Linked DNA regions of Rattus norvegicus. The protein of the gene in region 2 interacts with the protein of the main gene of each other region in a pairwise test. Links are inferred from orthologs where the notes say so. Each region holds a gene or a part of one and is shown on either strand. Other genes may lie near its edges. The genes, in order: Trim63, Myoz1 and Flnc.

Region 1 (11,006 bases), on a different chromosome or scaffold from region 2:
TGTACTCATCTAGTCCCCACCCTGGCCACAGCTCTCTCCTCTGCTGGGAGAGCTTGCTGTTGATTCCCCAGTCAAGAGTCAAATACCTCAAGTGATAAGAGGAGGAGGTGGGTAGAGAGGAGAGAGAAACCAGGCCCTGGGGCCGGAGCCAGCTCCAGGTGGCAGGGGGCCCAGACTTTGGGAGGCGGGTGGCAAGAGGAACGTAACCTCAGCAGCATCTCAGAGGCTGCGTCCTCCAACAGCGGGCGAAGGGGCCCCATCTTCTGAGGAGGGAAAGGGCACAGTTGAGGCAACGCACTGGGGAGAGCGTCCAGAAGGACGACAGGAAATGCTCTTCCAAACTCAGGTCTAGTTGCCTATTCCAATAATCTCACGTTCAGGAACCTGAGGCAGGAGGATTGCTAAGAGTTTAGGGTCAGTCTGTGCTACCTGATTAGTTTGAGATAACAAGATCCTGCCTTAAAAACAAAACAAAACAAAAAAATTTCCCTACAGTTATCTTTAAGGTAATATCCTAGGAGCTGGCTCTAATTCTAAGAAAGACCTGTGGTCTCCGTGGTAAACTGAGGCATAGCGAGATTATAGTTGCGCGTCTGAAGTCACACGACTTGAACTCATGTTGGCTGGTACTGAACCTCTTGCCTGTTTGAGTGCTTCAACCACGATGCTTCAGCACATGGTTGGGCTGGGCCAAGGCCAGGAGCCGGTGGGTGCCCTTTGGTTTGGCAAGTGTGTTTGGGGCAACTGGGGCAAGGAGAACTGAGACCGGAGAGGATGGGAACGCCCGCCTTTTCTGCAGGCTGCCAATCCCTACTGGACCAACCGCGGTGGCTCGGTGTCCATGTCTGGAGGTCGTTTCCGCTGCCCCTCGTGCCGCCATGAAGTGATCATGGACCGGCATGGGGTGTACGGTCTGCAGAGGAACCTGCTGGTGGAGAACATCATCGACATCTACAAGCAGGAATGCTCCAGGTCAGTGTGCAGCTGAAATGCCCCGCCTCCTGACCACGCCTCCTGACCGCGCCTCTCCCCAGACCCCTCCCACCTCAGCGAGCCACATTCATCAGCAGGCAGAGCCAACAACCTCTTCCTCAGACCAAACCTCAGCTCTTGAGTTTTGCGTATACGGGGAGCTAGAAAAAGAGTCCTGAGACTAGGGTGCAGGGGCGTGTGTGTGTGTGTGTGTGTGTGTGTGTGTGTTTGCGCTCATGGTAGAGATTGGACCTCATTAGGCTAGGGCTCTTCCACTGAACTACATCCCCAGAGCTTGCAGTTTTAAGATGGAGCCTTGACATATAGTGAAGGTTGGTATCAACTTGAGATCCTATTGTTTTTCAATCTCAGCTTTAAAATTTTATTTCTTTTATTTTGCTTACAAAGAAGGGTGTGTGTGTGTGTGTGTGTGTGTGTGTGTGTGTGTGTCTGTGAATACCAGAAGAGGGTACTGGCTCCCTGTATTAGTCAGGGTTCACTATAGAAAAATAACATATATTAATATATATGATCGATTGGAATGGCTTACAGGCTGTGTGTGGTCCAGCTAGTCCATAATGGCTATCTACCAACAGAAGGTCCAAAAATCCAGTGGCTGTGCAATCCACAAGGTTGGATGTCTCAGCTGGTCTTCATTATGTGCCAGAGTCCCCCAGAGAGTAGGCTCTAACGCCAGTGAAGGAACAGACTTGCTATTGAGAGCGAGAGCAGCAGGCCAATAGACAGCCCCCTTCCTCCATGTCCTCTCTATGGGCTGCCAGGACAAGGTGTGGCCCAGATTAGAAGTGGATCTAGATTAAAAGTGGGGCTTCCCACTTCAAATGATTTAATTAAGGAAAAACTCCCTGGCTAAGCAGTGGTGGTGTACACCTTTAATCCCAGCACTCAGGAGACAGAGGCAGATGGATCTCAGTGAATTTGAAGCCAGCCTGGTCTACAGAGCGAGTTCTAGGACAGCCAGGGCTACAAAGAGAAGAAACCCTGCCTCAACAAACAAACAAACCAACAAGCAAACCCAGCCACTTGGATTTTAGTTCATTACAGATGAATCAAGTGGACAAGATTCAGCTCTCCCAATCGCCCTGAAACCAGAACTGGGGTTACAGACAGCTACGAGCTGCCATGTGGGTGCTGGGAACCAAACCCAGGTCCTTTGCAGGAATAGTAAGTTCTCAACTGCTTTCCCCAGCCTTCACAGTGACTACCATATACCTCTTTGTTACATCGTGTCTCTTGTTGCTAGAACACAGCACTCCAAATGGACGTTGTTGAGCCCCAGGCACGGTGGCGTAGGCCCTGTGGTCCCAGCTACTAGGGAGTCTGAGGCAGGAGGATCTCAGTTTCAAGGTTCATCCAGGCTACATTGCAAATGCAGGGCTTGCCTGGACAACTCGGAAAGATGCTGATTCGTAGTCAAACCGTACTAATGAGAATGAGGGGCTGGGATGTAGATTGGTGATAGAACTCCTATCTGACACAAGGCTCTGTCCGGTCCCCAGTGTCTTCTGCATACCATGTGTGGAGGTCAGGGAGCAACTTTGTGGAATCAGTTCTCTCCTGCCTTTACATGAATTCCAGGGATTGAACTCAGGTCGTTAGCCTTGTGCTGCAAGCACCCCTCCCCCCTGAGCAATCTTGTCAGCCACAGATGCCTATTTTGGATTGTGGTGGTGGTGGTGGTGATGATGGTGGTGGTGGTGGTGGTGATGATGATGATGATGATGATAATGACGACGACGATGACGACGACGTAATTTATAGTATACTTACGTCAGCCTAATGCTGTCGAGTTTTGAAAATTATGCTGTGCCTTGGAGGTTTTTCCCTAATAAGGAAAGACAATAGCTGCCCTTAAGCAGGGTCTGCTCAGAGCTCCGCAGGCTACATCCCGGCATGGTTGGCACAGCTCTGAGAGACACTGAGGTGTGAAGGACTGAGATCACAGAAAACAAGTGAGTGTTTGACCCTGAGGCCTGGCCACAGAGAGGGAGGTGTTCTCAGGCAGCCTGCAGGCCCTCTCCACCCGGCTACACATCCTGTACCACATTCCCAGGGCATCACAACAGGTGGCAGTGGCACTAGGGAAATCCTCACCACTGTGGCCACAGTATGGGGCTCCTGGGCTCAAAGATTGAAAATAAAAACAAAAAGATCAAAACTGAGTGTTTGGAAAGTGACTCCCTGGAGGGGGCCCGGTAAGCCTGGATGTGACTAGTCATGCAGAGCTGTGGGGAGGTATGACAGGGACACCGATGGGGGGGATAGTCACTGTTGAAGATGGATTGGTGTAAGGGGCTGGGGGAGTGTAGAAATGGCAGCTTATCCAACTGAATGTAAGGTCTATCTAGCCTCAACTCTAAAACCCCAGCCTAGGCTGGGAAATCACTTATGTGGGAGAGGAGCATGCCAGGTGCCCTAGTTGAAGAAGCCATAAAGGGAGGAGACAGAAAGCAGAAGCTGTGTGGGGCTGGCTAGATGGTTCAGTGAGTACAGGTGCTTGCAGCCAAGCCTGATACCAGAGTTCTCTCCCCTGGACAAACATGGTAAAAGGAGAGAACCAACTCCTTCAAGCTGTTTTCTGACCTCCATGAATGTGGTATGGCACACATTGCCTCCCCCTCCAAATACACATATACTAAATAAATGGCATTTTTTTTTCCTTTTCTTTTTTTTCGGGGCTGGGGACCGAACCCAGGGCCTTGCGCTTGCTAGGCAAGTGCTCTACCACTGAGCTAAATCCCCAACCCCATAAATGCCATTTTTAATATTAAAAAAGAAGAGATTCGGGGCCTTGGAGAGCCTTTGTATAGCGGAGGTTTGCTCTGGGCTTCTATGTAGCCTTGCCTTTGCCCTCCGACCAAGTGCGCATGTATGGCTTAGGGTGCAGAGACTGCCCCCTTCTAGGACACCCTCAGGATGTGTTTACTGATGTATTTCATTTCCACGGTCTCCACACAAGGTACTGTATGTTATAGACTCAGGCAAGGAAAACAAGTAGGCTTCCTGCCTAGCTTGAGGGTACAGTCTCATGGGTTAAATATAGATGTGAAAGCTGACATCAGAATAAATTGCCCAGGCCCCAGCAACCAAATCTGTGGGGGCTAAAATTAGAGCAGGAGAGTTCTGGTCTCTTCTGTCTGTGCTGCTGGGCCACCTTGGGCAAGTCCATTTATTTCCCAAGACTGTTGTGTCTCCCATATGGTTAGCACCTTCTGGTCTACCTGGGATTCTGGGGCCCTCCCCATACCCTCTGCACCAACTCAGGCCAGGTCCAATGCTGGGGGCCTGAGTTTTAGGGCTAGGAACAGGTTTGTTGGATATCATTAGCTTCTTTGACCTTGGGCTCCCAGAAGTTAAAAAGGAGACTGCTTGGGGCAGCTCGATCCACTGGGAGCTCGCATATGGATGGGTAGCTTCCTGTGCTTGAAGCTAGGACAGGACAGGGAGATGGGACACCCTGACCTGTGATTCTTCTCCACCTCAGTCGGCCCCTGCAGAAAGGCAGCCACCCGATGTGCAAGGAACACGAAGACGAGAAAATCAACATCTACTGTCTCACGTGCGAGGTGCCTACTTGCTCCTTGTGCAAGGTGTTCGGGGCTCACCAGGCCTGTGAAGTTGCCCCCTTACAAAGCATCTTCCAAGGACAGAAGGTACTGGCTACAGCTGCTGTGCCCAGAGGATTCTGGGGTGTGGATTTGACCCTTGTGGATGTGCTGAGCCGGCCTTTCAGGAATAGTCTCTCAGGAGGGACTTCCCAGGTCACAGGGACAGCAGCCGATGCCTCCCTGGGGGAGGTGACTGAGCTCATGGGTTATACTTAGAGTCACTTGAGAGCCCCTGGGTGTGGCCATGGGGAAGAGGCCATGGCTTCCCTGTCCTGTCCACTCTGTAGTCCCAGACCTCTCCACCTGAGCCTCATATGAAGCATAAGGCAGATTTGAGGCTCTTCCCTGGGCCCTGGCAACCCAGCATCCTGCCACGGAGTAAGCTGTAGCCCTACTGTCTGCCACACTTCACTCGTCTCTTTCTTCTAGAACTTTCCAATCTATTCCTTCTCTCCGAAAGTAGCAGGCTGGGGATGGTAGCACAGGCCTTTAAGCCTAGCACTCAGGAGGCAGAGGCAGGATCGCTATGAATTTGAGGCCAGCCTGGTCTATATTGAGTTCTGGGCCAGCCAGGGCAGCACAGTAAGGCCCCTGTCTTTAAAAAAAACTGGGGTGGGGGCAAGAAAGAAAGAACGAAAGAAAAGGAAGGAAGGAAGGAAGGGAGGGAAACTTGTTTTCTTTTGTTTCTTTATCAGTGCTTTGCTGTGTGTTTTGGGTTGCTCAGTTTCCCTCTCTGGGCCTCATCTGTCCATAAAGGATACATCTGTGGTAGTCTCTGCTTTAGACCTGAGCTGCACCTCAGAAGGAGGGATAGCAACCCTATTGGTGACTCTGTCAAAGACAGGGGCATGAACACCATGTTGCTATAATTCTGGAGAAGCAGCGGGCCCTGAGTCTATTTCTGTCTCTCCTCTCTCACGCCCCTGCCGTCCAGACTGAACTGAGCAATTGCATCTCCATGCTGGTGGCAGGGAACGACCGAGTTCAGACTATCATCTCGCAGCTGGAGGACTCCTGCCGAGTGACCAAGGTGAGGGTGTAGAGCTGCCCTGTCAGCGGTGAGGAGTTCAAGCCTCCGGTGCAGCCTGTCTCCGGGAAAGCCCTGAGCTATGGTGCAGATTGGGGTTTGGAGTCTTGGGTACCCAACAGAGATGGCAGGAAAGGACACAGTCATTTCTCCATCACCCTTGGCGAACACAGCAGCTGTGTCAGACCCTGTAGAAGGACAAGACAGACCCAGTTGGTCCCTGACTGCAGAGATTCACCAATAACTCCCTGAATTGTTCCAGCATTAATCATTTATCGATAGAGCAAGAGTCCTGACCTGTAAAAGCTCACACCTGACTCAGGACTGTGGAACCTCAGGGGCTCTGGAACAATTCAACATTCTGCACTTCTTCCTTGCTTGAATTTTATTTTCCATGTTTACTGGTGTTTTGCCTGCACATATCTGTGCCTCATGTGTGTGCAGTGCCAGAGGAGGCCAGAAGAGGGAGCCAGATCCCCTGGAAATGGAGTTCCAAGATGGTTGTGAGCCAACACAAAGGTGCTAGGAACTGAATCAGGGTCTTCTGGAAGAGCAGGCAGTGCTCTTAACCACCAAGCCATCTCTCCGGTCTTCTTTCTGTCTTTCTGCCTTTGATTTGATGTTTGTTTGTTTTTCTGGACAGCGTTTCTCTGTGTAACCCTGGTTGTTCTGGAACTCACTCTGTAGTTTGAACTCAGAGCTCCAGGCCAGCCAGGGTTATAGAATTAGACCCTGTCTCGAAAGAAAGAAAGAAAGAAAGAAAGAAAGAAAGAAAGAAAGAAAGAAAGAAAGAAAGAAAGAAAGAAAGAAAGAAAAGAACAGACAGAGGGAGGGACGGAGGGAGGGAGGGAAGAAAAAGAAAAGAACAGAACAGACAGAGGGAGGGACGGAGGGAGGGAGGGAGGGAAGAAAAAGAAAAGAAAGGAAAAAAACCTGGTCCCTTCTTGAGGAGGGTTGGAGCTGGTAAGTTGGGGAAGAGCCATCCATCATCACCACAAGTGGACTGCTCTGTGGAGTGGAGAGGACCATTGTAACCCTGAGAGGTATCTCATGCCGAAAGGCACCACTGCCAAGCCCATTCGACTTTTTAAGACCAGGTCTCACTAGGTTGCACCAATTCAGCCTTCTGTGGGTGCGGGCATTTTCCTCTTCGATAGCTTTGCTCCGTGTGCGATCGAGTCTTGCCTTGCTGCAGAGAGTCCCTGGGGCCCTTTCTGACTCAGAAAGTGGGTTGGCACTTCATGGGATGTGACTGTAGGATTTCTGTCCTCAGGAAAACAGCCACCAGGTGAAGGAGGAACTGAGCCACAAGTTTGACGCCCTCTACGCCATCCTGGACGAGAAGAAGAGTGAGCTGCTGCAGCGGATCACTCAGGAGCAGGAGGAGAAGCTGGACTTCATCGAGGCCCTGATCCTCCAGTACCGAGAGCAGTTGGAAAAGTCGACCAAGCTTGTGGAAACAGCCATCCAGTCCCTGGATGAGCCCGGAGGGGCCACCTTCCTCTTGGTGACTGGAATCTGAAGGGTTTGGGTAGATTTGAACTATTACTCTTTCCTGATCTTCAAATGGGCCTGGGCTGTTTAAATCTTGGTGAAATGTCAGGCATCTCCGGTCACTACAGGCTCCTGACCATAAATAATCCCAGTTCTTGGGCAGCTGAGACAGGAGGACTCCAAGTTCAGGGGAAAGCAGGACAGTTTGGTGGAATAGTATCTCAAAATAAAACATGCCAGGCTAGGCTTGGTGACACACGACTTTGCTATCCCAGTACTTGGAAGACACAGGCAGAGGCAAGAGGATCTCTGTGAGTTTGAGGCTAGCCTGGTCTATAGAGCAAGCTCCAGGCAGCCAAGACTGCATGGTGAGACCTTGTCAATAAATAAACAAAAAAAACAAACATAAGAAATATTGGGAGAGGAGAGATGATTCTACGGCTAAGAACATGTCTTATGTCGAACACTTTTAATCCCAGCACTGGGGAGACAGAGGCAGGCAGATCTCTGTGACTTTGAGGCCAGCCTGGTCTACAGAGTAAATTCCAGGACAACCAGAGCTACATAATATCGAGAACTTGTCTCAAAACAAAACAAAGAAAAATAACACTTTGGTTTTGTTCTTACAAAGGACCTGGGTCCAGTTCCCAGCACCCACATTGTGGCTTACAACTACCCATAGCTCCAGTGCCAGGGTACCCAATGCCCATTTCTCACTTCCAAGGGCACCAGGCACATATGTGGTTCACATACACACACGCAGGCACTCATACATACACTTGAAACAAAAATAGGTCTTTTAAACAATATCAGCAAAACCCAGAGGGGCTGGAGAGATGGCTCAGGGGTCAAGAGTGCTTACTATTCTTTCAAAGAACTTGAGTTAGGTTCCCAGAACTCACGTCTGGCAGCTCACAAATACCCATAATCCCAAGAGCAGTGGAACTTGACACCCTCTTCTGGCCTCCAGGGGCTGCAACATACATACATATACATACATATACATACATACATACATACATACATACATACATACACACATACACACATACATACACACATATATACATATATACACATACATACACATACATACATACACATACATGCATACACATACATACATACATGCATTACATACATATGCACACATACATATACATACATATATACATACACACATACATACATTACATACACATACATACATGTATATACACACATATATACATAGATACACACATACATATATTACATAAGTACATACATGCATACAAAGACAATTTTAATGTGAGTACACTGTAGCTATCTTCAGACACACCAGAAGAGGGCATTAGATCCCATTAGAGATGGTTGTGAGCCACCATGTGGTTGCTGGGATTTGAACTCAGGACCTCTAGAAGAGCAGTCAGTGCTCTTAATCACTGAGCCATCTCTCCAGCCCCCAAGAAAAATTTAAAAACATATTAAAAAAACTACAATACCCAGAATATATGCCTTCAAGCTCTTATGGTCTAGCTTTGTCCAACCCATGGAAGAAAGTTTGGTTGACTCTCGTCCAGGAGACTTCAGACATTTTGAGTGCTTGGTCAGAGAACCCTGGCTTCCTGCCCAGACAGTAGAAACAGACTGGGGTTCATGTTGGCCAAGATCTGTGAGAAAATGTCCGAGTTCTATTTAACAGGGCAGGATTCAAGTTACGCCTGTACCATGGAATGGTACCTCGAGTCTATCCTTTGGAATTTCGATGTTAACCTCTGTTCTTTTTCTCCACAGAGTGCCAAGCCGCTCATCAAGAGGTCAGTGTTCCCAGGACTACAGCCTGTGTCCCTAGTTCCCCTCAGGGCTTCTGACACCTGCCCAATGGATCCCTGTGCATTAGTTCTGCCAGGATCGGGGGGGATCGGGACTCACCCCAGACCATGTGCCCTACTCTGTTAGATCATCCACTCTGCTTGACCCTAAAGAAGAAATGTCCTCTGCCCCTTCATCCCCTCACTTCAGGGATGGATTGTGGGACTGGGACGGACCCACATAGAGCCAAGGCTAAGCTGTCCCTTCCTGTATGCAGCCCGAGACCTCACCCTATCTCTCTCCCCCACAGCATTGTAGAAGCTTCCAAGGGCTGCCAGCTGGGGAAGACAGAACAAGGCTTTGAGAACATGGACTACTTTACTCTGAATTTAGAACACATAGCAGAGGCCTTGAGGGCCATTGACTTTGGGACAGGTAAAGGACATGATTGTGCTACTTGCTTTGTGCATGTTTGACCTTGGAAAGGCAGTGCTCCTCTTGAGCGCTGATCGGAAGCAGATTCATATTTTAAAAAAGCCAGATTTACGCAGTCAATGTTGACAGGGCCTCTCTAAGGAGCCCTGTCGGTCTTAGAATTCTCTAAGTGGACCAAGATGGTCTGGAACGCACAGAGATCCGCCCGTCTCTGCTTTCTGAGTGCCGAGATGAAAGGCGTGTGCCCTCCATGCCTGGCTCCACAGTCAACTTAGTGATGAATCCAGGGCCTAGCACTGTGCCCGGTTCATAATTATTACTAAGTAAATTATGTGCGGATCCAAAGTTCATGACATCTGGCATTAGACAGATCTGACTTCAAATCCCCATTCTGCCATTTTTGTGTTATCTGTGTGACCTTTGGCATCCTTCCACCCTCCTCCTTTGTGGTCTCCCATTTCGTTGGATTTTTTGTAAAGATTTATTTATTTATTATATATAAGTACACTGTAGCTGTCTTCAGACACCAGAAGAGGGCATCAGATCTCATTATAAATGGTTGTGAGCCACCATGTGGTTGCTGGGATTTGAACTCAGGACCTCTGGAAGAGCAGTCAGTGCTCTTAACCACTGAGCCATCTCTACAGCCCTCGTTGGATTTTTGAGAGGAACCATTACTAGTGATTGAACCCAGGTCTTGGACTCTTACCTGGAAAGTTTGGGCAGGAACATAGTGAGTTGGAGGCCAGCCTAGGCTACATAGTCAAAAGGATAATTCAAGACAGGTTGCACTGTGTTAACGTAACATGGTGAAGGTTTGAGCGATCCACCTCCACCCCCAGCAGGGAGAGCATACCAACAGCGTTCCTTGAGTCCATTCGTGAAGATCGAGGTGGCCTCAAACTCACAGAGATCTGATGGCCTCTATTTATTGCCTGAGTGCGGGCATTAAAGTCATGTGCCACTACGTCCAGCCCCGAGCCCATTTTTTTGTTGGACTGTCTATGCTCTGAGCACTGAGATGCTGTCGTAAAGACGTAAATCCCATCTAGGATGCGGCTCTGTTAGCTTCAGTTTGTAGCGTAGGAAACTGAGTTTAGACAGAGCAATCCCTTGTTCAAGGCCACATAGCTCGTAAGTAGCTGGTGCAGACTTCACCTTGGGCCACTTGGCTCACAAGACCCTCTGAGGACATAGGAGACAACAGAAAGACACCATGGCACCTGCCCGTAGTCATTCTCTGGGGAGAACTATTTTGAGCAATAATTACGATTTAGATTCAACCACGGGCCTTCTGGATTATCGCGGTTATGCGTGGGTCCTGGGTGTTTGATTGGAGGTTTTAGTTGACAATTTTGTTGTCTTGCTTTTTTGTTTGTTTGTTTGTTTGTTTGTTTGTTTGTTTGTTTGAGACCGGGTGTTACTATGTAGCCCAGGCCATCCTTAAATTTGTGACTAATCTCCCACCTCAGTTTCCTGAGTGCTGGATTTACAGGGTGGGCGTACTGGTTTGTAGATGGGCTTGAGAAACGTTGACTCTGCAATTCTCTGGAAAGGAGTGGGGAAGGGGCAGGGTCCTGTTAGGAAGGTTTGAAGGTCACACCCCAGGATGAGAAAGTGAGAATCCAAGCTGTGGGGGTGGGGTGGGGGAAGGG
Region 2 (9,865 bases):
GGGATAGAGAAACGGCTGAGCAGTAAAAACCCTTGTCATCCTTGCAGAGGATCTGAGTTCAGGTCCCATCTAATGACAGTGTGTAAGTCCAGTTCAGGGGGATCTGACCCCTCCCTGACCTCAGGCACTGCATGAACATGGTGCACATACAAACACAGAGACACACACATAAAAGAAACCTTTTTTTTTTAAAGATGTGTTTATTTATGATAGGTAAGTACACTGTAGCCGTCTTTGGGCACACCAGAAGAGGGCATCCAATCCCTTCACAGATGGTTGTGAGCCACCGTGTAGTTGCTGGGATTTGAACTCATGGCCTCTGGAAGAACAGTCAGTGCTCATAACCACTAAGCCATTGCTCCAGCCATCAATCTTTTAAATTACATCTGTTTGCCGGTGTTAACGTTGGTGCTCCTCTATAAAGAGATTGCACTCCAGAAATTGTAAATAAAAATTTTCAGAAAAAAAAATTTCTTTTTGGATTTCAAGACAGGGTTTCTCTGTGCAAACAGTGAGAACAAGATTTGGTGGCTGAATACTCCCCCTTTGTACTCCTGAGGGCCGGGTCTGAGGTATGTGGTTTGTCTGGTTGGTTTCTGTCTGGTTTTTGTTGTGTTATTGCTGCTGTTGTTGCTGCTGCCCTTTAGGTTTTGGGTTGGCTTTGGGGGTGGGGGAGCAGTGTTCGTTTGTTTGTGTTTGTTTTTGTGTTTGTTTTTGTTTTTGACAGGGTTTCTCTGTGTAGCCATGGCTGTCCTGGAACTCACTCTGTAGGCCAGGCTGGCCTCGAACTCACAGAGATCATCCTGACTCTGCATCCGAGTTCTGGGGTTAAAGGGATACACCACCATTGCCCAGCCTGAGGTAAAATTTCTCAGGATTTTCCAACATGTAGGATTACCTAAAGAAAGTAATAAAACAAGTACTCAGGCCTGAATCTGCATTCCCCTCCCTTCTCCCCCCCCCCTTTTTTTTTCAGCCTCCCAAGCTCCAATCCTGAAATTCCCTTTGTAGTTCATGCAGGTCTTGAACTCAAGATGCCCATCTGCCTCCGATGTGGTTATAAGCCCTAGCCGCCATATCCATTTGCATTCCAGTTTTTGTCTCCTTGGTTTTTGTTGTTATTGTTTGAGACAGAAGCTTGCTGTGTAGCCCTCCCTGGCTGGCCTAGAATTTACTCTGTGCCTAGGCTGGCCTCATATTTCCCATGATCCTCCTGCTCTTCCCAAATGCCCATCTTGGGGCCAAATGCAAGCCACCATACCCACTTTTGAGCTCCTCAGACACAGCTGCTGAATGACACGGGCCATTCTTGGAGTAGCATGACTGTCTGAGATTTCCAGTGGGACTCAGCCCCCATTACCTAAAGTACCCGTTCCTGGCTTTCTCCCCTTATGCTGCTGGGATTTCATTTCCAAATGCACTGTTTGCATCTAAACCTTATTTCAGGTACTTTGAAGAGGCATCTAAACTATGCAAACCGTCTTAGGAAAATGCACATACAGAGTTTTGCTTAGACATTTAAAGAACATAAGAATTCTCCAAAAGCTACCCCCTTCCCCTCCCCCTCTTCCCTTCTTCTTCTTCACCTCCCCTCTCCCCCTCTTCCTCTCCCTTTTGGGATCTCAAGTAGCCAAGGCTGGTCTCTGAAAAGAAAAAGAGTTTAGTAGTCAAAACAATTTATTATATATGAGTACACTGTAGCTGTCTTCAGATACACCAGAAGAGGGCATCAGATCCCATTACAGATGGTTGTGAGCCACCATGTGGTTGCTGGGATTTGAACTCATGACCTCTGGAAGAGCAGTCAGTGCTCTTAACCGCTGAGCCATCTCTCCAGCCCAGTAGTCAAAACAATTTTAAAAGTATACTTTAATTCCAGCACTTAGGAGACAGGCATATCTCTATGAGTTCAAGGCCAGCCTGATCTACATAATGAATTCCAGGTTCCTAAGTTGGAAATCAGTACAAGAGTATTGTCACTCGTTCCTGTTGTGCTGCTGTCAGGTTTCTTCAAGCTCTTTTTGAACATCACTAATCCTTTGGAACCTTTAGATCAGTTCTTGCTGTGCTCATAGAACCAAGCACACCGTTACTATAGCTGGTTTCTCCTGCTTCTTTCTCAATGCTGTCTGGTCTCCTTTTGCGTCTATGATGGTTCTGCCTACATGTGTGTATATGCACCACACTGGTGCTGGGTGTCTGTGGAAGTACAGGTGGTTGTGAACCACATGTGGGTGCTCAGAACTAGCTAAACTCCAGTCTTCTACAAGAACAAGTGTTTGCTTTAACTTCTGAGCCATCTCTCCAGCCCCATATAGGTTTTTATATTCCCAAGCTTACTCTGGTTTCTGGTAACTTTAGAGTTACTTATTTTTATCGTATGTATATGAGTGTTTTGTCTGCATGCATGTGTGTGCACTACATGCCGTCCCTGATGCCCTAGGAAGCATAGTAACATATCCCCTGGGACTGGGATTACAAATGACATCCAGACTGGTCCTTTTGAAGATCAGTAAAAACTTAAACCACTGAGATGTATCGTTAGCCCCACCAGTAACTGTGAAAAATCAAAGGAACCTTCACTTTCTTAAAACTCATTTTTCCTTTCTCGGTGTTTCCCAGCTTTTAATTGGCTACACAAAGATAACTCTGGTACTAAGTGTTACCTGCAGTTACCAACACTTACTTCCTAATCAGTGTGCATTAGCTTCTTAGCTTTATACATACAGGGGCCAGCATGTGGGCTTACACACAAGATTTTATCTCATGTAATATCAAATGATACTCTTTGTTTATACCTGATGAGTGTGTTTTTGTGGGTGTCAATGCAGGTGTGGATGTGTAAGAACCAAAGCCCATATATGGTCCTAAAGTCTGAGTGAAGTGTCAGTCTTTTGCTTTAGTTAACCTTTGTGCATCATCAGCCTCAGTTCTCATCTGCCTTCAAATACCAGAGGAAGAGTGAGTTCATTTCCTTAGAGTTTATTGACTGTTACCAGTGGCAGAGAAAATTCCATAAAAGAGCAGATTCCATATGGAACAGCAGGATGGGAGCTCTTAGCTGGTCAGGAGGGGTGCTCTGGAGTGGGAACTTGAAGGGTGGAAAGGCTCCCACCCTCTACCCTCCATTGCCACAAGGATACTGGAGTAACAGTTGGGGCATCCTGTCCAGCGTCCCCTCTCAAATTGGAACCAGAAAGGGGAAATGATGCATACGACAGGAGGAGACACTTCACAGCTCCTCTGTCTCTCCATCCAAGGGTATGCCGATATCCACGCTGTAGTCTACATGCTCCCCAGAGCTCAACCAGGGAATAGGGGTTCGATTGAAAGAAGGCCTGTTGGAGAGGTTCTGGTTGTAGAGGACCAAGGGTTCACTCAGCAGAGGCCCCAGGTCAAACTTGGGCATCTGGAAGGTCATTCGTTTGGAGGCCTTCTCATATCCACCATAGGGCATTGCCGTCCTGAAAGGGGAACATGTCATATAGTTAAGAATCAGAATAAAAGAGAAAGCACTTGTCAATGAGCTATCACCCTGCTTTAAGGGAGGAGAGTCCATAAATCATAGTTAGACATTGCTTCCTTGCTTCCAGTCCTCGTCCTCCCTTAACACCCACTTACCTGGCTTGCTGTCTATCTGAAGTTAACAATGAGATGAGTCTAGTAGACTACATGATCTCATGGACAGTTGGGACAAACACCAGCATTTTGGCCACTATAGAGCCAACAGTATGAGACCATCTTAAATTGCAATGTATATTGTAACCTACAACTGCAACTCTACCCCCATCTCAAATGGAGAGTGGCTGGAAACACTTCTGTAGACCTTCCTCGACCTGCCTCACACAGACGTCCTAGCCATGGCCTCAATGCCCATTTCTAAACAATAGAAACATGGAGCATGGGATAAAGAAAGAATCATCCTGTAGGGAGAGTAAAGACATTGTCACCTTGCATGGGAGGGAGCCAGGACACACCTCCAACCACAAAGTGTGGGATCCCCATTTTACCTTCGAAAAACCCAAGCCGAAAAAAATGAGTGCCAAACTAACATAGAGATCTTCCCTTCACTCCACCGCTATGAGAGGCAGGGGATCCTCCATGAGGGTCCCCTATTCCTGTCCTTACACCTTAGCCCCCTCTGAAACATCTGAACTTAAACCAGGTAGAGCAAGGTGTCACACAACGGGACACGTCAGCTTCCTCCCCCGCTATCCTACCTGTTAAAGGACTTATACTTGGGGAGTTCAGCTTTGGCGCCATATGCCAGCAGGTCAATGCCAAGTTCCACTTTTTGCTGAGGGTCGACCCCCATGGCCCGATCCCACGGGGAAATATATGTCTTGAACACAGTGACGTGTTTCCCATCTCCACCTGCCTGGTCACCTGGTAGCCATGGAAGGGAAACATACATCAGATGATAGCAGCCACTATCAGTGGCTAATGAAAGCTAGTCCCATACCCTACCACTAGGGGAGCGGCTGAGTCGAGGGTCAGAGGTACAATATCCTGGGAATTATATATGGTTTGTAACATAATGGAGTCTGGGGTGAGATTTGTGACTGAATCTGAGAAACCAGAAAAAAAGAAAAGAAAAGAAACTAAACGATAAGGCTGTGGGTGGAGCAAACACATTGCTGTATCCTGGATACCTTCTGGGTCCAAGACACCTCAGTCTCCCTCTTTCCACATCTCAACTAGGCCTCATTCCTGGGGACATGTCTGCCCTGGGCATCAGATACAGTACTTCTGGTTGGTGAGAATACTTGCCTGATCCTGGCTCTCCAACCCCTACTGTGCCGGGAGCTGCTCCTCCGCCAGCCTGGCCCCCAGGACCACCTGCACCCCCAGCTCCAAACCCAGAGCCCTGCTGATGGCGGTCAGAGCCATACTGTCCAGCAGAGCCACTGGCCCCAGCCTGGCCTCCGCTGCTGCCCTTGCCATAGGAGAAGCCCTGACCAGCTGACTCCAGCTGTCCTCCCACTGTGGGAAGAAACTTCTGGAAGTGATCCTGAAAAGAAAGTACAAAACAAGAGGAAGATTAGCAATGGGTGTGGAAAACGCAGACAGAGGCACATGTACAGGAGCAGGCAACAGAGCTAAGGGGCAGCCACAAGACCCCAAGGCTCTGAGAAATCCTCGCTAATGAACGCATAGAGAAGAGTGTCAGCCCGAGGGAACTGCTTTCTGGGAGAGGTGCAATTCCCTGATTACACCTCAGAGTAAGGCAGCTCATTCTCCACTCCCTATCCTATCTTGGCAAGGCAAAGCAAACCAAGATACCTGCTCAACAAGAAACTGCCACAGTTCAGTTCGCCCTGCAGGGAGGCCTCCTTTGCCTGCTCCTCTCCTCCTCTTGATGGCCCATCAGGCCAGAACTTTCTTACAGTGAAACTGTAGCAGGTGAAGCGGGGGAGGAGAGCCAAAAGGGCAATACTGGTTTGGGCTCCAAAGCCTAAAAATAACTCCACCAACTCCTTGAGGAGGCCCTCCTGGCCACCTTACCCTGTGTCCCACACCCTCTACCCAGTGTAACCAGACCCAGCACAGAGGAGGGCTTTTGGCCTCCTAAAGTTAGCTGTGACCCACTCAGCACTTTTACTCTGATCCTGCAGAAGGGCTCATGACAGACACTCCTGCTGGGCCGCGTCCACGTCTGCATCCATTTCCACTGTCCCCCCAGCCACCCAGAGAAGGTGGAGGAGGAAGAGAGGAAATGGAGCCAGTCCCGCGCTCCTCTGTGGTAACATCCTGTGCCTGGCCTCTCTCCAACCCCCTTACTCTTCTTGTCTTGGAGGAGATGACCTTAAAGAAGGAAGATTTTAGTTTCCTGTCATCTTTCAAAATGGAGATAGTTATAAAACTTCCGTAAACTCTTCTAACATCCGAAGATGTACCAAGTAAAATTATAATCACCCAAGTTTAATGTTCAGGTATATAACATTTTTAGTGTAAAATATGCCTTAAATATTTAGTGGGATGTGTTTACATTGAGAAATTATTTGTAATGTCCCGTGTAGGGGAAAGCCAGGGCAGGGAAATGAGAAGGAGTGGATGGGTAGGTGGGGGACACTCTCATGGAGGTAGGGGAAGGGAGAAGGGATAGGGGGACTCCAGAGGGGAAATCGGGAAAGGGAATAACATTTGAAATGTAAGTAAAGAAAATAGCCAATAAAAAAAAAGCCAAAAAAATAAAACTTTAATAAGAAAAGAAAAAAAAAAGGAAATTATTTGTAGTTGATGGCACACACCTTTAATCCCAGCACTCAGAAGGAAGGGGCAGGTGAATCTCTGTGAGTTCAAAGCCAGCCTGGTCTACAAAGGGAGTTCCAGGACAGCCAGGTCTACACAGAGAAATCCTGTCTCCAAAAACCAAAAACCAAAACCAAAAGAAAAATGTGTATTTAAATTTAAAATATAGCACACCATTAACCCTGGAAATCAGGAGACCGAGGCAGGCAGAGCTCTGTGAGTTTGAGACCAGCCTGGTCTACATAGTTCTAGGCTAGCCAGATTTACATGGTACTATTCTAAAAACAACAACAAAACCCTAATTTTTATTATTCAAATCTTATATTGTTTTTAAATCCAAAAGGTTACATGTTACAGGCAATATATTTAACAACCATTCATTTAAAAAACTTTTCTCAAACTCACAAGCCTCCTCAAGCTACACAGCTCATTGTATATATCTGGAGGTCAAATTTAACTGGGTACCCCCTTTGGACCTTTGCTTGCTTACTGTTTGATTTTGGGGGGAAATGAAACCTAGGGTCCCATGCATCTGCCACTCAGCGATACAGTCAGCCCCAAGATTCTGTAGGTTTTAATTATTTTATGTCCCCAGTAATACAAAGAACACATTTTTAATACAAAGTTACTAATTGTGTATCTTAGTGTCAAAATACAGGACTGGGTGTCCCATGTTTTATCTGGCAACCTTATTTTAACACGTAGCCACACTGGGAAGGAATTTTCTCCCTATGGGTGTGGTCCTCATGCCTGCACTGGCTCTAGGATGGGGACTAAGCTTCAGGAATTAATTCTAACTCACCCTCGAGTCATTGGGAACTGAATATATGGAGGATCTTAATGAGTTTCTCATTTCTCCTGGAGACAAGGTTGGTGGTATCTGGGGAAATTGGGGGCAACCGAGAAGCTGCCAGGAAAGACACTGGGCTTTGAGAGAGTGGTTGATGTCCATACTCACCATTGAGCTGTCAGAGAAAACATCGGGGTGGTTTTCATAGATAAATTTCTCCACCCGCATCTGCCGCAGCTTGAACATCTTGGAGCCTCGGTTGGTAAGGAGCGACAACTCCTCCAACATCACATCCCTCGGGACACTGATCTTCTTGCCCAGGTTCAGGCCCGAACTCTCCCGACCGCCTTATCCAGGAGGTAGAGAAGAGGAGACAGAAAGAAGAAATGAAGGCTTTCTGGACTGGGAAGGGAAGCGCCACCCACCCACAGCTAAGTGTATTCTAAAAGAGATTAATTCGGGCACAGGGCTGTCTGGCTTACAAGTTTTTGTTTGTCTTGTGTGTCTTTTAAAAGATTTTTCAGAGATCTAGTTATGTTTAATATGTATGAGTGTTTTCTTTGCATGTATGTATGTGCACCATGTGCATGTCTGGTACTCACAGAAGTGAGAGGAGCACTCAGATCCCCTGGACCTAGAGTTACAGATGGTTGTGAGCCACCGTGTGGGTGCTAGGAACTGAATCTGGGTCGTCTGCAAGAGCAGCAAGTGATGTTAACCACGGAGTAATCTCACCATCGTGTGCGTGCGTGCGTGCGTGCGTGCGTGCGTGCGTGCGTGCGTGTGTGTGTGTGTATGTGTGTTTGAGACAAGGTCTCACTTTGTAGCACTGACTATTGGTATTCTGTCTAAGCTCCACCCCCACAGTTGCCTGGCAACAGCCAGCTGTGTTTGACACTATATAAGGGGCTGCTTGCCCCCCTCCTCCTTCTCTTTGCTCTTCTCTTCTCTGCTCTCTTTTCCTCTTCCCCTTTGTTCCTTCTCTCCCCATTCCCCTCCCCTCTTCCCTCCTGGTGCTCATGGCCGGCCTTTACTTCTCCCCTCTTCTACTCTTCTCTCATTAAACCTCTCCATGTGGAACCATGTTGATTTGGTCTACCCCAACACGGACTGGCCTAGAACTCACAAAGATTTCCTCGCCCTCGCCCCCGCCCCGCCCCCATCTCCTGAGTGCTAGGCATGCACCACCCTACACAGCCCATGAGAAGTGCTTTTGTTTTAATTTCATAAGAAGTTTTGATTTCATGGTTTAGAGTGAGAACTCAAGGGGACAAAGGGAACCATATATAGTGTTTGAATACTCGAGTGGAGAAAGAACACGGCCAAGGGGCATGGGCTTGGAGTGAAGGAGAACAAGTGAAGAGAACACCACAGACAGTGGCCATTGGAGGAATTACACCGGCCAGGGAAAGCCCATCTCTAAACGCAGATCCTTGTCCTCTCCTTTCTCTCTTTATTCAGTGAACTCTGACTCCTGAGGTATCAGGAGAACTTCACACTTGGTAACTCGTGTGCATCCCCAGGGAGTAGGGCTGTGCAGTTTCCTATTTTAAATGCTTACATAAGTTCCCTCGAACTTAGAAAGGAAAGAGGAGTTAACCATTCAGTGAGGCCTAGCCTGTGCCTCCCACAGGTTCACTGACCATGGGTCCTGTCCTGAATCTCAGCCCGGTGTTGTCTCCGAGTAATCAGTGGGAAGGCCTGGAGGCCACAGAGGGAATTCTGGTTCTTCCTGTCTCTTCCTCCTTGCTCTTCTTACCTCTCCCATCACCCCATCTCCCACACCCTCCACAGCTGCCATTCTTCTTGTCTTTTTCACTCTGACTTATAACCGGTCTTACATCATTTCTGCAGCTCTTGATTCAGGGATGCTCTTAAAAATCCTACATTTGGGCGCTCAAGCACGCCCTACCTCCAGTGAGCTCCATAATCAGTTTGCTTGACTTCCTCCTCTTGTTAGGGGCCGGGGTTCCCGAGAGCGGCATGGTGGAGGGGGATTTGACCTGGAAGGAGCAGGAAGCAGGCTTGAAAAAAGACAGGAAAGGGGAAAACAAGCATGTTCACTACAGTGAACTACTTAACTTGGGGTCGAGGACAAATTTTCTTCAGAGTTTTTCCCATGTGTTCATGTTTGCATGCGTGCATGTGTTTTCACAGTGATCTGTATCCCCAGAAGGTAAACGGCCAAGACTTCTGTTTTCTTTGGAAGCAGGACAGGAGGCGGAACTGCACCCCTTTCCTTACGTCTTACCGACCGGCTATGTTCGCTTTCCATAACTCCTGTATGGGCATCGGAAACACAGCTATGGCCGAAGGGGGTTCAAATACAACACTGGCAAAGCAATGCACTCAGGCTTCTTGGGCCTGGCATGATTTAAAGTCCTTGTTTGTGTTGGGATAGCAGGCTACAACTATGGCTCCAGACTCTGGTCTCCTGCTCAGGCTTCCATCAAGGTCTAAGGGGGTAGAGAAATGTTCTGCTAGTATTGAGGAGACTCAGCCAAACCCTTCTCCATAGGAAGGAGAAGCTGTTCTTCCAGGAAGCCAACTGGAACATGGCCCGAGAGGTCATGGGTGTGTTCCTTGCTTCTTCAGGCAACTCCTACCCCAAGCTGCAGAGCTGGGCCTGAGAGCAAGCTGAGGGCGTTTGAGCTGGGACAGATGTCAGCTCAGCAATATCATGCATGGGGGTAGAGAATTGTAGGAGGACAGAAACACAGGAATGAGATCTGGCTGTGGGTGGGGACAAGGTAGAAAAAGACACACAGTCCAGTCTCTCCCTAACAGTCCTGCTGTTTTCTGTGGTGTTCTGTCACACAAACA
Region 3 (11,006 bases), on a different chromosome or scaffold from region 2:
GCTTCCCCCCAACCCGTTTAACCCCTTATATCACAGTCTCGGCCCCCAGCTTCACCAAGTCTTCCCTCAGGACACCTTTGAGGGACACTGAAACAAAACAGATAAAGGCCCGGCCCCCCACCCACCAAGTGGCACAGTGGGGTACGGGGGATTGTATCACCCCGTCACACCTAAGGCAGGTGTTTTAGTGTCTGATTCTGTGAGTGTGGATAGGGGGGTGGCACATCTGTGTGGGTATGACTTTGGCAGGAAGTGGGGGCCTGGGCTGAGGGAGGCGCTTCTGAGATTCAGGGCACATTGACCTTGAAGGGGCTTCCAGGGACACTTTCATCACCCCACTTGACAATGAGGATGTAGTCTCCTTTCTCCTTGACAGTGTAGGTGACATTGTAGACCCGGTTCCCCATGTGCTTCACATATACCTCTTCGCAGGGGGTCTTGGGCCCGTGCACACCCACCATCATCATGTTGGTACCTGGAGAGGGAGGCAGAGAGGAGTGACTCACACCAGGGCCACAAGCAGCCCACACCCCTGGCCCTGGACACCTTCCTGCTTCTTCCCCCCTCCCCCCAGACGAGCCTCTGGGATGGAACATGCCTGCTTTGCTGCAGTCCACGGTGAAGGAGTTCTTCTGACCCACAAAGGCCTGGGACAGGCCGGGGCCCCTTGTCACCACCTTGCTGGCATCTGAGGAGAACTTGGGGATGGAACTGTAGCTGGCGCCGCGGCTCGAGGAGGACTTTGTCACAGTCTCCACCAGAACTGTGGATGTTTCGTGAAGGCTGTGGCCTCCAGACAACCGGGGACCTGAAGGGTAGAGTAGGTGGCCATGGGCCTAGTCAGAGGACTTCCTGCTCTTTTCTAGGACACTGACAGTCCTCTGAGATGGGCACTGGGCAACATTGTGTGTGCTAGGCTCCCTGCTGTCCTCAGCTGCAGTTTTTGAAGAACACTACCTGTCCCCTACAGGCAGCATCTGACCAGCTCCAATCCCTGCTTACCCCTGGGTCATAGCCACTTCTGGTTCTGCCTCTCACCCTTCCAGGCTTCCTCTTGGAAGTCAAGTTAACTGACAGGGTGAGAGTATGACTTTAAAACGGAAGAAAATGGGGATATAGCTCAGTGGTAGAGCACCTCCCTAGCATGAATAAGGCTCTGGGTTCAAACCCCAGTACTGGAAAAAAAAAGATTTTCTTTTCTTTTTTGGTTTTCAAGACAGGGTTTCTCTGTGTAGTCCAGGCTGTCCTGGAACTCACTCTGTGGGGCAGGCTGGTCTCAAACTCACAGATCCACCTGCCTTTGCTCTCCAGTGCTGAGATAAAAGGCAAGCGCTTGGCAATGTATTTTTAAAGATTCATAGAATCTTTACAGAATGGGCCACGGCCTAGCCACGCCCACCTCCATCATGGCAGCCAACCACGCCCATGTCCATCATGGCAGTCAGCCACGCCCACATCCATCATGGCAGCCGGCCACGCCCACCTCTGCCTCTAGTAGTAACTAGGACCATAACTGAAAGCAGACTACAATCAAATGGGAATGGCCACCGGAGCCAGCCATGCTGCGCTGGACTATGTGGACCTTCTTCAGCCAGGGCACTCACCTGTGACCTTTGCTTTGAAGGGACTGCCCACAATGTGCTGAGGGCCGCCATACTTGATGGCAATGAGGTAGTTGCCAGGAGCCATGGGCGTGTAAGTGACTACATGGCCCTCAGGACACTCCCGACAGTCCAGCTGCACCTTGGAAGGCCCATCGATGGTGACAGACAAGGCCCCCGAGCCTGCATTCTGGGTGTTAACAATGAACTCTGACGATACACCTGGAGGACAGAGGGAGCGAGCTGAAGATAAGGAAGAACGCAGCCCAGGGTAGGGCCCTGGGTTCCTTGGGAAACACCAGGTTAGTACCAACAAGTTCCCAACCTACCAAGGCGTGCCTGATCCCCCCAAATCCAACCCTGCTCCCCTCGGTTCAGATGCTCACCCGTAGTGCCTCCTTCAAGCCCAGGCCCATAAGCTGACACCAAGCCTGGGTCCCCAGCTTGGCTCTGCTCCCCAACGCGGATCTTGAAGGGGCTTCCAGGGATGTGGGCACCGTTGAACTTGACATCAATTGAGTGGACACCGTTCTCATGGGGGATGAAGCGGATGGTATGCTTATCTGTGAAGCAGAAGGTTGGTGAGTGAGCCTCCATGTTTCTTCACCCCTTTGCCAGAGATCCAGGTCTGACAGGAGATGGCAGAGACAGGGCCAGCTTACCACTGTCCAGTTCAGAGACATAGCACTCCTCCACAGCTCCTGAGGGTGTGTGTACCCGGGCATCGATCACGCCACGTGCCCCATTAAGCTGCACCGCGAAAGATGCTGGCTGGTTCACCTTAAGCCCTGTCTCCTGCAAAGACCACAGAGCACAGTCAGAGTCCTGGGAAGCTGAGGCTAGACCAGTCCTCTCTGCAGCTCAATGCTGCTCTTACTGTAGAGCCAGTCCAATGCTCCCACCTCTCCAGCCCGGTCGCTGCCTGCCAGCCCAGATTGCAGGGAAGGGCCGAGATGGCAACGGCTGCTCTGCCATTCTCTGCATCCGCCTGTAGGCACCCTCCTAGCCATGCTGGGTACCACAGTGGGTGAGGAGTGGTGTACCCCTGCCTCAGCTGAGGAAGCAGAGGCCAGACACCGAGGAGTGCAGGCCTAGTAGAGCTTGACAGCGCTGTGTGGGCTGCAGGCCCAGACGAGCTTGGATGTGGCAGGCTGAGTGTAGATTGCCCCAAGAAGGGAGTGACCAAGGGGGAGCACTGGAGAGAGCACCAGAAGGGCTCGGGGGTATGAGGATGGAAGCCTGGGCTAGAGTGGAGGGCTCGCTGTTGGCTGATAGGACTGCACTGAGGGTCAGCTAAAAGAATGGGGCGAGGGGCTGGAGAGATGGCTCAGTGGTTAAGGGCACTGACTGCTCTTCCAGAGGTCCTGAGTTCAAATCCCAGCAACCACACGATGGTTCACAACCATCTGTAATGGGATCCGATGCCCTCTTCTGGTGTGTCTGAAGACAGTGACAGTGTACTCATATATAATAAATAAATCTAAAACAATGAATGTGGGGGTAGCGTTCTCTGTCCTCTCCTCATGCTCTTTGACAGTGTTTCCAGTTGCCAGCGTGGCCTGCTGAAAGCCTGCATGGTGTACATCCCCACATGGCAGAAGGAGAGGGGACCTTTCTAGATGTCACACCAGGAAGAAGTACAGCCCAGTGCAGCGGTAGGAGGGGTATAGCCCAGTCTACATGTGCTTGCTCTGGCGTCCTCTGCAAACTCGCTGACGTTTATTTGGTGTTGATTTCATGTGCTTATTCACTGGGATTCACTGAGATGTGGACATGCTCCCCGAAAGGGCCCTGACCCACACTGCATGTAGTGGGAGAAGGGACTGCAGCCAACTCATCCACCAAGCTGTCACTGGCCATGTGGGCCTGCCCTCCTAGACCCCTGCCTATCTCCCAGGCCAAGTTCCCAACCGTGGCACAGACCTGGAGGCTGGTGACGGTGAGGCGGCGAGCATCATCTGAGAGGGAGGCCACAGGCACCACAAAGGGGCTGTCTGGGATGTGCTCATCATTGAACTTGATGGAGACCTCATAGTCACCTGGGGAAGGAAGCTAGTCAGCACCCTTTCCATGATAAGGGCGGAAGGAACCCCCAGCCCAGCCTCAGGGCTCAGCTCTGAGTGGGTGAAGGAACTTGGGGTGCAAAGGGAGTAGTAACTGGTGGGGGGGAGTCCCAAAGCCCATTGGTCAGCAAGTAGAAACCCTCTCCCCACTCAAGTGTAAGCATTTACCTGGCTCCTGGACAACATAGGAGACACCACAAGAACCATCTTTGCGGTCTTCGAATGCGATCTCTGCCTTGCTGGGACCTTCCACAGCAATGGACAGGCCCCCAGCTCCAGCTTCTCGGGTCCAGATGCTAAACTCAGCTGGACGGCAATAGGGTAGGGGTGGCGTCTTAGTGCTGTTGCCCCTCACATTGGCTGCCCTGGCCCCCAGCTCCCCCTGGCTTCAGCCCCTTACCTGGCACACCAGCTACACCTCGCTCCAGCCCTGTGCCTCCAGCCCGCACCTTGTGGGCACCACCTTCACCTAGCGGACCCACGGTGAACTGAAAAGGGCTTCCAGGCACATGTTGGCCCCGGTACTTGACAGCGACTGTGTGGGGGCCCATCTCCTGGGGCACAAAGCGCACACTGTATGCGCTGTCTTCTCCCTCAACGATCTCTGCGGCTTCTGTCTTGCCAGATGGACTGGTCACCTGGGCTGTCATGTCCTGAGAGCTGGCCTCACCTGAGGGGTTGGAGTGATGTCAGGCCAACAAGAGGCTGTATCTGTTCTCCGTGGTCTCCTCCCTCCTCGGTGAACCCCATTCTCTGCTCAGACCTGTCCTGGCCATCTAGGCCAAGGTGGCCAGGGATGAGGCCATTCTATCTCACAGAACAGGAGGCCCCAGCCTCCCTATGAGGGCCCGGATTCCCAGTGCTCTCTGCTTACCTTCCTGCTGTCGGGTGATGCTTCCAAAGGAGCCCAGGCGTTCCCGGCCGAGAAAATCGCCGAAAACAGCAGGGAAAGGGTCTCCGCCGACCTGGGTGGACTCCTCCACCCGGACTTCACGCTTGGTCTCCCCACCCCGAGTCTTGCTGATCTCTGTCCGCTCCGTGCGGGTGTACGTGTGACTGCTACGCGTGAAGGTGCGAGTCAGGCGCTCCTGGGCGGACACCATCTGAAACCAGTTTCCTATAGAAAGCCCCGTGGTGGGAGTGAGGAGGGAGGCAGCAGGACAGAGGCCCCAGGGTAGGCTCAAGGCGGCAAGGGCATCCCATGGCCACCCCTGCTCCACCCTGGCTCCTCTCTGCCTTTGCAGCATCTACCTGGGATCTTGAGGTTGAGGTCACAGGTGCTACCAATGGTGGCGATGGAAGGCGCCTGTCTGCGCCGGGTGATGCTCTCCTTCATGCGTCCCTCGCCAGTCACCTTCACGGTGAAGGGACTTCCTGTGAGTGAGAGAGAAAAAAGACTCAGGTTCACAGGTCACCTGCCTGGTCACCGGATTTGTCCCCTACTGAGTCCCCGCCCAGAGCCTCACCAGGCACGTGTTTGTCAGCAAACTTAATGTTGATGATGTAGGTGCCAGGTTCAGTTGGACAGTAGGTGACTTTGCAGGTACCGTCTTCCATATCCTCACAGTTAATGTCCACCTTGCTAGGACCTTCGATGCTCAGCCCCAGGCCTCCGTAGCCTAAGGGATGTGAGAAAGATGTCTCCCCTGAGCCCATGATACCTGCACCCACACTGCTCTCCTGTCCCGTGCAGAAGGCTCTGCCTAGGACAGACGTCAAATGAGTGTAGGGACCGCTAAGGAAAATGGCACCATGAGATGTGGAGAGGTGATCCAGTGTTTGTCATCAAGGCTTACTAAAGAGGCCTTCGGGAAAATTCCATACCTTGGACCTCTTGGATTCTAGTGAGTGGAGACTAACAAGCTCAGGACAGCTGAGCTTTCTCTCAGCTGTGACAGAGCTGACTGACGGGGGACATTCGCTTCCCCCCAGTGGGCTCTAGACTGAATCCCAACAGATCCAAGAAGCTCAGGGCAGGAGGGTGTGGCCAGAGGGGGAGGTTATGGGCAGGAAAGGGACAAGAATTTGTGGAGTGCTAATGATATGGGGGGTTCTGTGTCAAGAAGTACCTGCATTGCGAGTGTCCACAATGAACTCTGCCACTTGGAAGGTCTGTCCCTCGGAAAGGCCCTTGCCCCAGACTCGAACTTTGCTGGCATCGCCGATCTCCGAAGGCCCAACCAAAATCTTAAAGGGGCTGTTGGTGACGTGCTTGCCACTCTTGCGTACGCTCACCACATGCTCACCGACCTCCTTGGGGGTAAAGGAGATCCCTGTGGAGAGGGGACAGTAAGCAGAACATCCCCGAGGCCTCCCTGACCCAGGTACACCCAGGAGGCACTGCACTCACCAATGTGCCTGTTGGGCAAGCGCTTCAGCAGGCAAGGCTCCTCATTGCCTGAAGGAGCACGGATACTGGCTGTCAGCTGGCTGAGGTCACCCTCTGTGATCTTCAGTGACACATCGGTGGAGGTGCCCACATTAAGCTGGGACGTTCTCATTGAGTCGTCACCTGGGATACAGTTGGGACAGATCAGGATGTCGGCTCCAGACAGACTCTAGCATCCCTGGTCTGCATTCACCTTAACTACTAACAGCCTCAGAGGGACCCAGCATCCCTGTGCACTGTGCCTGTCTCAGTCCTGGGGAGGCTAAGTCTGTCCTTGAACCTTTATGTATTTGGTCCTGAGTCACATGGACCAGATGCTCTCTCTATGGCTCTGATCACAGTGCTAATTTGTCTCTGGGTTTTCTCAAAACAGTGTCAATATTTCAAGAGTAACTTGAAAACTGAAATAATAAAATATTTTTTCTTTTTTGTTGTTTGTTTGTTGTTTTTGGTATTTGGAGACATGGTCTTTCTATGTAGGCTTGGCTGACCTAGAGCTCTCTGTGTAGACTAGGCTGGCCTTGAGCTGACATAGATGATCACGTTTTTCAAAGCATGGACTGGTGGGATGTTCCTTGCCTGTTGTGGAGAACAGCATCCTTACATTTACTCCAGATGTTCTCCTCCCCTCAGCAGCCTCTGTCCAAATGTCCTGGGTGAGCTGACTTGAGTGTGTGTGGGGCAGGGTGCCCATGCCTGAATGTCCGTCTCACCTGTGATCTTGGCCGTGAAGGGGCTCCCTGGGATATGCTTGTCGTCAAAGCGCACAATGATGCTGTAGTCTCCAGGTGCTGTGGGTAGGTAGGACACGGTACAGGTGCCATCTTTGTTGTCCTTGCAGGTGATCTCCGCCTTGGATGGGCCCTCCACAGCCAGTGACAGCCCCCCTGTAAGCGAAAGTGGCTGAGATCAGAATCTATCCCTGTGCCTACAAACCTGGCAAGTCCCCTCACCTCTTTCGGCAGTTCTCCTCACCTTCCCCAGCGTCTTTGGTGACAATTGTGAAGGTGGCAGGCTTGTTGACCATGCCATGGCTCAGACCTGGCCCATAGGCACTGACATGCCCGCTGTTGATGGCATCCACATAGAACTGCAGAGGGCTCCCTGGGTAGTGACAGGTGGAGCTGGATTAGCATAGGGACAGGGGCTTCCCACAGCCATGTTGGCCCCCAGCATCTTCAACAGCTTTGGATTTTGGAGCCCCGTGCCTCTGCTACATGGACTTAGAAGCCCATTACCATCAAGAAACACATTTCCCAGAACCTTCTTTGGTGCCTGTACATGGCAGTGCTTACATATGTATTTAAAGGAGGCTGGCAGGACCAACATGGTGTTGGCTCCTCTTACCGTGGTCTCACCCTGCTCCCAACTCACCAGGGATATGGTTGCCATCGTACTTGATTCCCATCTGGTGCAGGCCTTTCTCTGTAGGTGCGTATCTCACTGTGATGGTACCGTCCTTGTTGTCAGTGATGTTGGGACGTGCTGTTTTACCAGAGGGCATCCGGACCTCCCCTGAAAGGCAGACATACTTACATGTAGGTAGGACACTAGTTTCTCCCAACACATGTCCCTGATGTCCCAGGGCCTGTTCTCAAGTGGCTCTGCTTTCCCCAGAGGCCAGACACTGGGAAGCAGCCCATTCAGGAATAGAAGGACTAGGAGACAGAAGGCTTGAACTTGAGTTCTCATTCTGCCCAACTTGTGAGACGCAACCTAATTTGTTTCCCCTCTCTGGGCCCTAGGTCTCATCCCTGCAATGATCTTAGCTGAAAGGCCAGGAAGCGTTCTCAGTTCTCAACAGAGTCTCACGTGTGGTGCACCCATTACCTGTCAGCTCCCCTTTCTGCACAGTGAATGGGATGACCAAGTTGAAAGGCCTCAGCATGGACTCCAAAGGCTCCACAGGAACCACGGGCTCCTCTGTGGCCTGTAGCAGGTGAGAGGAAAGAGAAGGCTGTAGTCGGTGGAGAACGCCGGGGAGTGTGGCCTGCCTCAAGACTGAAGTCAGAGAGAACGAAGAAAGAACAAGGTTAATAGTGAGACACCAATGGCAGAAGATGCGTCAGCTGCAGGAGAAGGGGTGCCATACTCAGATTTGGGCTCCCTCTGCCCATCCTAATGCCTGCATTCCCCAAGAGGCCCAACCATGGCCCAAGCCTGCAGAACAGAAGGAAGAATGAAGAAAGTAGGGAGAAGGATGACGAGGCCTGTCGTGGGAAGCTCTAGTACCCAGTGTGTGGGGCAGGTGCCAGGCCGAAGTGGGGCATATGGCTGGTGCAGCTGCAGCACTTCCGCAGGCTCCTCCACATGAGGCAGCGGGTCACATGCCTGGGGAATAAGGCACAGGGTGTACAATGTGGGGGGACCTAGATCTCAGAACCAACTCTCAGAATGGCCTAGGACTCAAGTCCTGGGTGGGTATCTCAGGTGTTCTATCCTTGTCCTGCAGGGCCACCCCTGTAGAAACAAGAGCTAAGGACAGTGGCCCAAAGGTCAGAAAAGAACACAGTGAGCTCCTTCAGAGAGGGATGATACCTCTCTGGTCAAAAGCAGAGCTGCACCACCTCCCTGCACATTGGAAGGCTACAGGAAATACAAAGGCTCATTCTAGAGTACTCTGGCTCCAGGATCTGTTTATCAGACATGGGGACAAGTTCTCTGACTCCTTGAGGACAGCTCCTAGGATCCCTTGCAGCTACTGAGAGGCATATTCTGAGTCCTTGAGGACAGCTCCTAGGATCCCTTGCAGCGACTAAGAGGTATATTCTCTGATTCCTTGAGGACAGCTCCTAGGATCCCTTGCAGCTACTAAGAGGCATATTCTGCATAACATGCACCATGGCCATGAGCTTACCAGCACATGGAAGGGGCTGTTGGGAATGTGTTCACCCCCAAAGCGGATGGTGATGACATATTTGCCCGGCTCAGGTGCTGTGTAGTAGATATCAAAGGTACCATCGTGGTTCTCAACTACATCCACATCGAGCTCTGCCCCGTCAGGTGTGGATACTGTGCAGGTCACCTTCCCCTTGCCTGCTGCCTTGGCATCCACTGTAATCACAGTCTCCTCTCCAATCTGGATTCTGGGACCCAGGCAGGCACCTACCACATGAAAAAGCCAGATCAGGGGCTGTGGAGGCCATGTCCAGCTCCCCCTTTCCCGGCTGCTCCCACAGCCTCCAGCCCTTAGTAAAGAAAGAAAAAGTTACTCACCCAGTCCATGGCCTCCAATGGATACTGGAAATAGAGAAGAAAGTTAGGTCATTAAGGTTCAAGATGACCTAGAGGTGGTGGGAGCTGGGCTGGGCAAAGAGTATAGACTTTTTGCCAGCATGGCCCCAGGACTGGGCTGGGAGACTGAATGCACTCTAAGGGGCTGACGAGAAGGGACTCAGAGTTGGTACTCACCTGTAACAAGGCACTTGCTGGCATCCCCTGTAGGCAGGGCGTGGATACGGAAGGGTGAGTAAGGGATCTCATCGCCGCCATACTTGATGGTGATGGTGTACCGACCACTCATGTCTGGCAGGTAGGACACGGTGTATGTGCCATCCCCATTGTCTCGGATGTTGGCCTTCTTGGGTTTACCCTCGGGATCCTAGAGGAGAAGGAGAGGTCAGGCCTACCTATGTCCACAGAGGGCATATATGCTGGGCAGGGGGCTGTGCCTAGACTTACCAGGATCTGGACTGTGAGAAGCCCCTCACCAGCATCACGAGCATCAATGGTGAACTCCACGGGCAGGCTGGCGGGGATGCCGGAGGCATTGAGGCCAGGGCCACTGGCCCGCACTTTGCTGGCATCGTGGGCCGGAAGCACTTTGATCTTGAAAGGGCTTGAGAAACAGAAGGAGCGGACAGTTGTCAGGGAGTTGGAGCTTGAGATATGTGAGCCTTCCCACATGGGCAGAAGGAGTGACTCTGCAGGGCAGCCCTGAAGGCCTGCTTCCCAGGACATCTTGAATCTTGGAGAAGGGTCACTGAAGGACCCATGGAACATAGATAGTGTTTTCTCCAAAGGAAGATGCTGTTAATTGTTTAAAGAGTCTGCACACTTTCTGTGGCTCTTTTCCTTGATGCTTATCTGGTGCTGAAGCTAGTGGGGTGATATTACCTTCTGGGTAGGGAACCTTGGAGTGGGGTAGGATGGGGTAGTCCCTGAAGGAGGTTTAGACAAATAAGGGGGGGGGGGACTCTGCCCAAGTCCTGGCCTTGAAGGTTAGGCCCTAGGAGAAGCTCTAGCTCAGCATGGATTGGTCAAGGCTGGCCCTCACCTGCGTGGCACCTCCTGGTCAGCATACTTGACAGCTACTGTATAGGGTCCGTCAGTGGCAGGCGTGTAGTGGACAGTGTGGGTACCGTCGCCATTGTCACGCACCTCCACAGGCTCAGCCACACCTGGGCAGAGGCAGAGGAGTGTCAACAGGGCCTCCTGGAACCTCCCCTCCCTCCCCTCTTTCACTCCAGACATTCCATACCTGTGGGTCCCAGCACTGCCACCTGTAGAGGGGCCCGGCCAGCTTGACTGCAGTCCACTGTGAAGGTCTGAGGTACCCGAGCCCTGACGCCAGTCCCTAGCCCTGGCCCTGAACACTTCACCTTCCCAGGGTCCACAACATCCTTCACAGGAACTCGGAATGGGCTTCCTGGGAGAGTGAGAACAGAGATGGTGGAGGTCAGCCTCTCCCCACTCCCTGGCACAGTTTGTCTTCCCGCACTGAGGATCTGTGGAGCAGGCAACCTCCCTGCTGCTGAGAGGCCCACTGAGACAGAGCAACATGAGAAGCAGTTTGGAACTTGCTGAGAAATAAAAAAAGAGAGTAAGCGAATTTGACTGCAGAACGAGGCAGGGCAAACCTCACCTTCTTAGACTCAGCCTGGGAAGAAAGCCCTCCTAAATCTTTAAAATGTTAACAATGGAATTAAAAAAAAAAACCAGCTTATGTCTTTT

The links.
Region 1: the proteins of Myoz1 (region 2) and Trim63 interact in a two-hybrid assay, tested with the Homo sapiens proteins (2 studies listed by BioGRID and IntAct). The link is inferred for Rattus norvegicus from reciprocal best matches to the Homo sapiens genes MYOZ1 and TRIM63.
Region 3: the proteins of Myoz1 (region 2) and Flnc interact in a two-hybrid assay, tested with the Homo sapiens proteins (2 studies listed by BioGRID and IntAct). The link is inferred for Rattus norvegicus from reciprocal best matches to the Homo sapiens genes MYOZ1 and FLNC.

What each region holds. Positions count from the first base shown.
Region 1 is NC_086023.1:151,817,692-151,828,697, forward strand, and holds part of Trim63 (E3 ubiquitin-protein ligase TRIM63), read left to right. Parts: intron 1-799; coding exon 800-972; intron 973-4,477; coding exon 4,478-4,646; intron 4,647-5,535; coding exon 5,536-5,631; intron 5,632-6,901; coding exon 6,902-7,135; intron 7,136-8,898; coding exon 8,899-8,921; intron 8,922-9,226; coding exon 9,227-9,351; intron 9,352-11,006. UniProt on the Homo sapiens protein: E3 ubiquitin ligase. Mediates the ubiquitination and subsequent proteasomal degradation of CKM, GMEB1 and HIBADH.
Region 2 is NC_086033.1:3,693,930-3,703,794, reverse strand, and holds the end of Myoz1 (myozenin-1), read right to left. Parts: intron 9,067-9,865; exon of another isoform or gene 9,046-9,066; 5' UTR 9,028-9,045; coding exon 8,955-9,027; intron 7,390-8,954; coding exon 7,211-7,389; intron 5,012-7,210; coding exon 4,771-5,011; intron 4,387-4,770; coding exon 4,221-4,386; intron 3,465-4,220; coding exon 3,233-3,464; 3' UTR 2,964-3,232; downstream 1-2,963. UniProt on the Homo sapiens protein: Myozenins may serve as intracellular binding proteins involved in linking Z-disk proteins such as alpha-actinin, gamma-filamin, TCAP/telethonin, LDB3/ZASP and localizing calcineurin signaling to the sarcomere.
Region 3 is NC_086022.1:59,015,843-59,026,848, reverse strand, and holds part of Flnc (filamin-C), read right to left. Parts: intron 10,702-11,006; coding exon 10,534-10,701; intron 10,454-10,533; coding exon 10,330-10,453; intron 9,892-10,329; coding exon 9,735-9,891; intron 9,655-9,734; coding exon 9,465-9,654; intron 9,294-9,464; coding exon 9,270-9,293; intron 9,159-9,269; coding exon 8,911-9,158; intron 8,385-8,910; coding exon 8,286-8,384; intron 7,984-8,285; coding exon 7,884-7,983; intron 7,569-7,883; coding exon 7,428-7,568; intron 7,158-7,427; coding exon 7,029-7,157; intron 6,941-7,028; coding exon 6,767-6,940; intron 6,177-6,766; coding exon 6,015-6,176; intron 5,938-6,014; coding exon 5,734-5,937; intron 5,284-5,733; coding exon 5,131-5,283; intron 5,039-5,130; coding exon 4,916-5,038; intron 4,782-4,915; coding exon 4,539-4,781; intron 4,335-4,538; coding exon 4,065-4,334; intron 3,971-4,064; coding exon 3,833-3,970; intron 3,641-3,832; coding exon 3,525-3,640; intron 2,397-3,524; coding exon 2,264-2,396; and 9 more.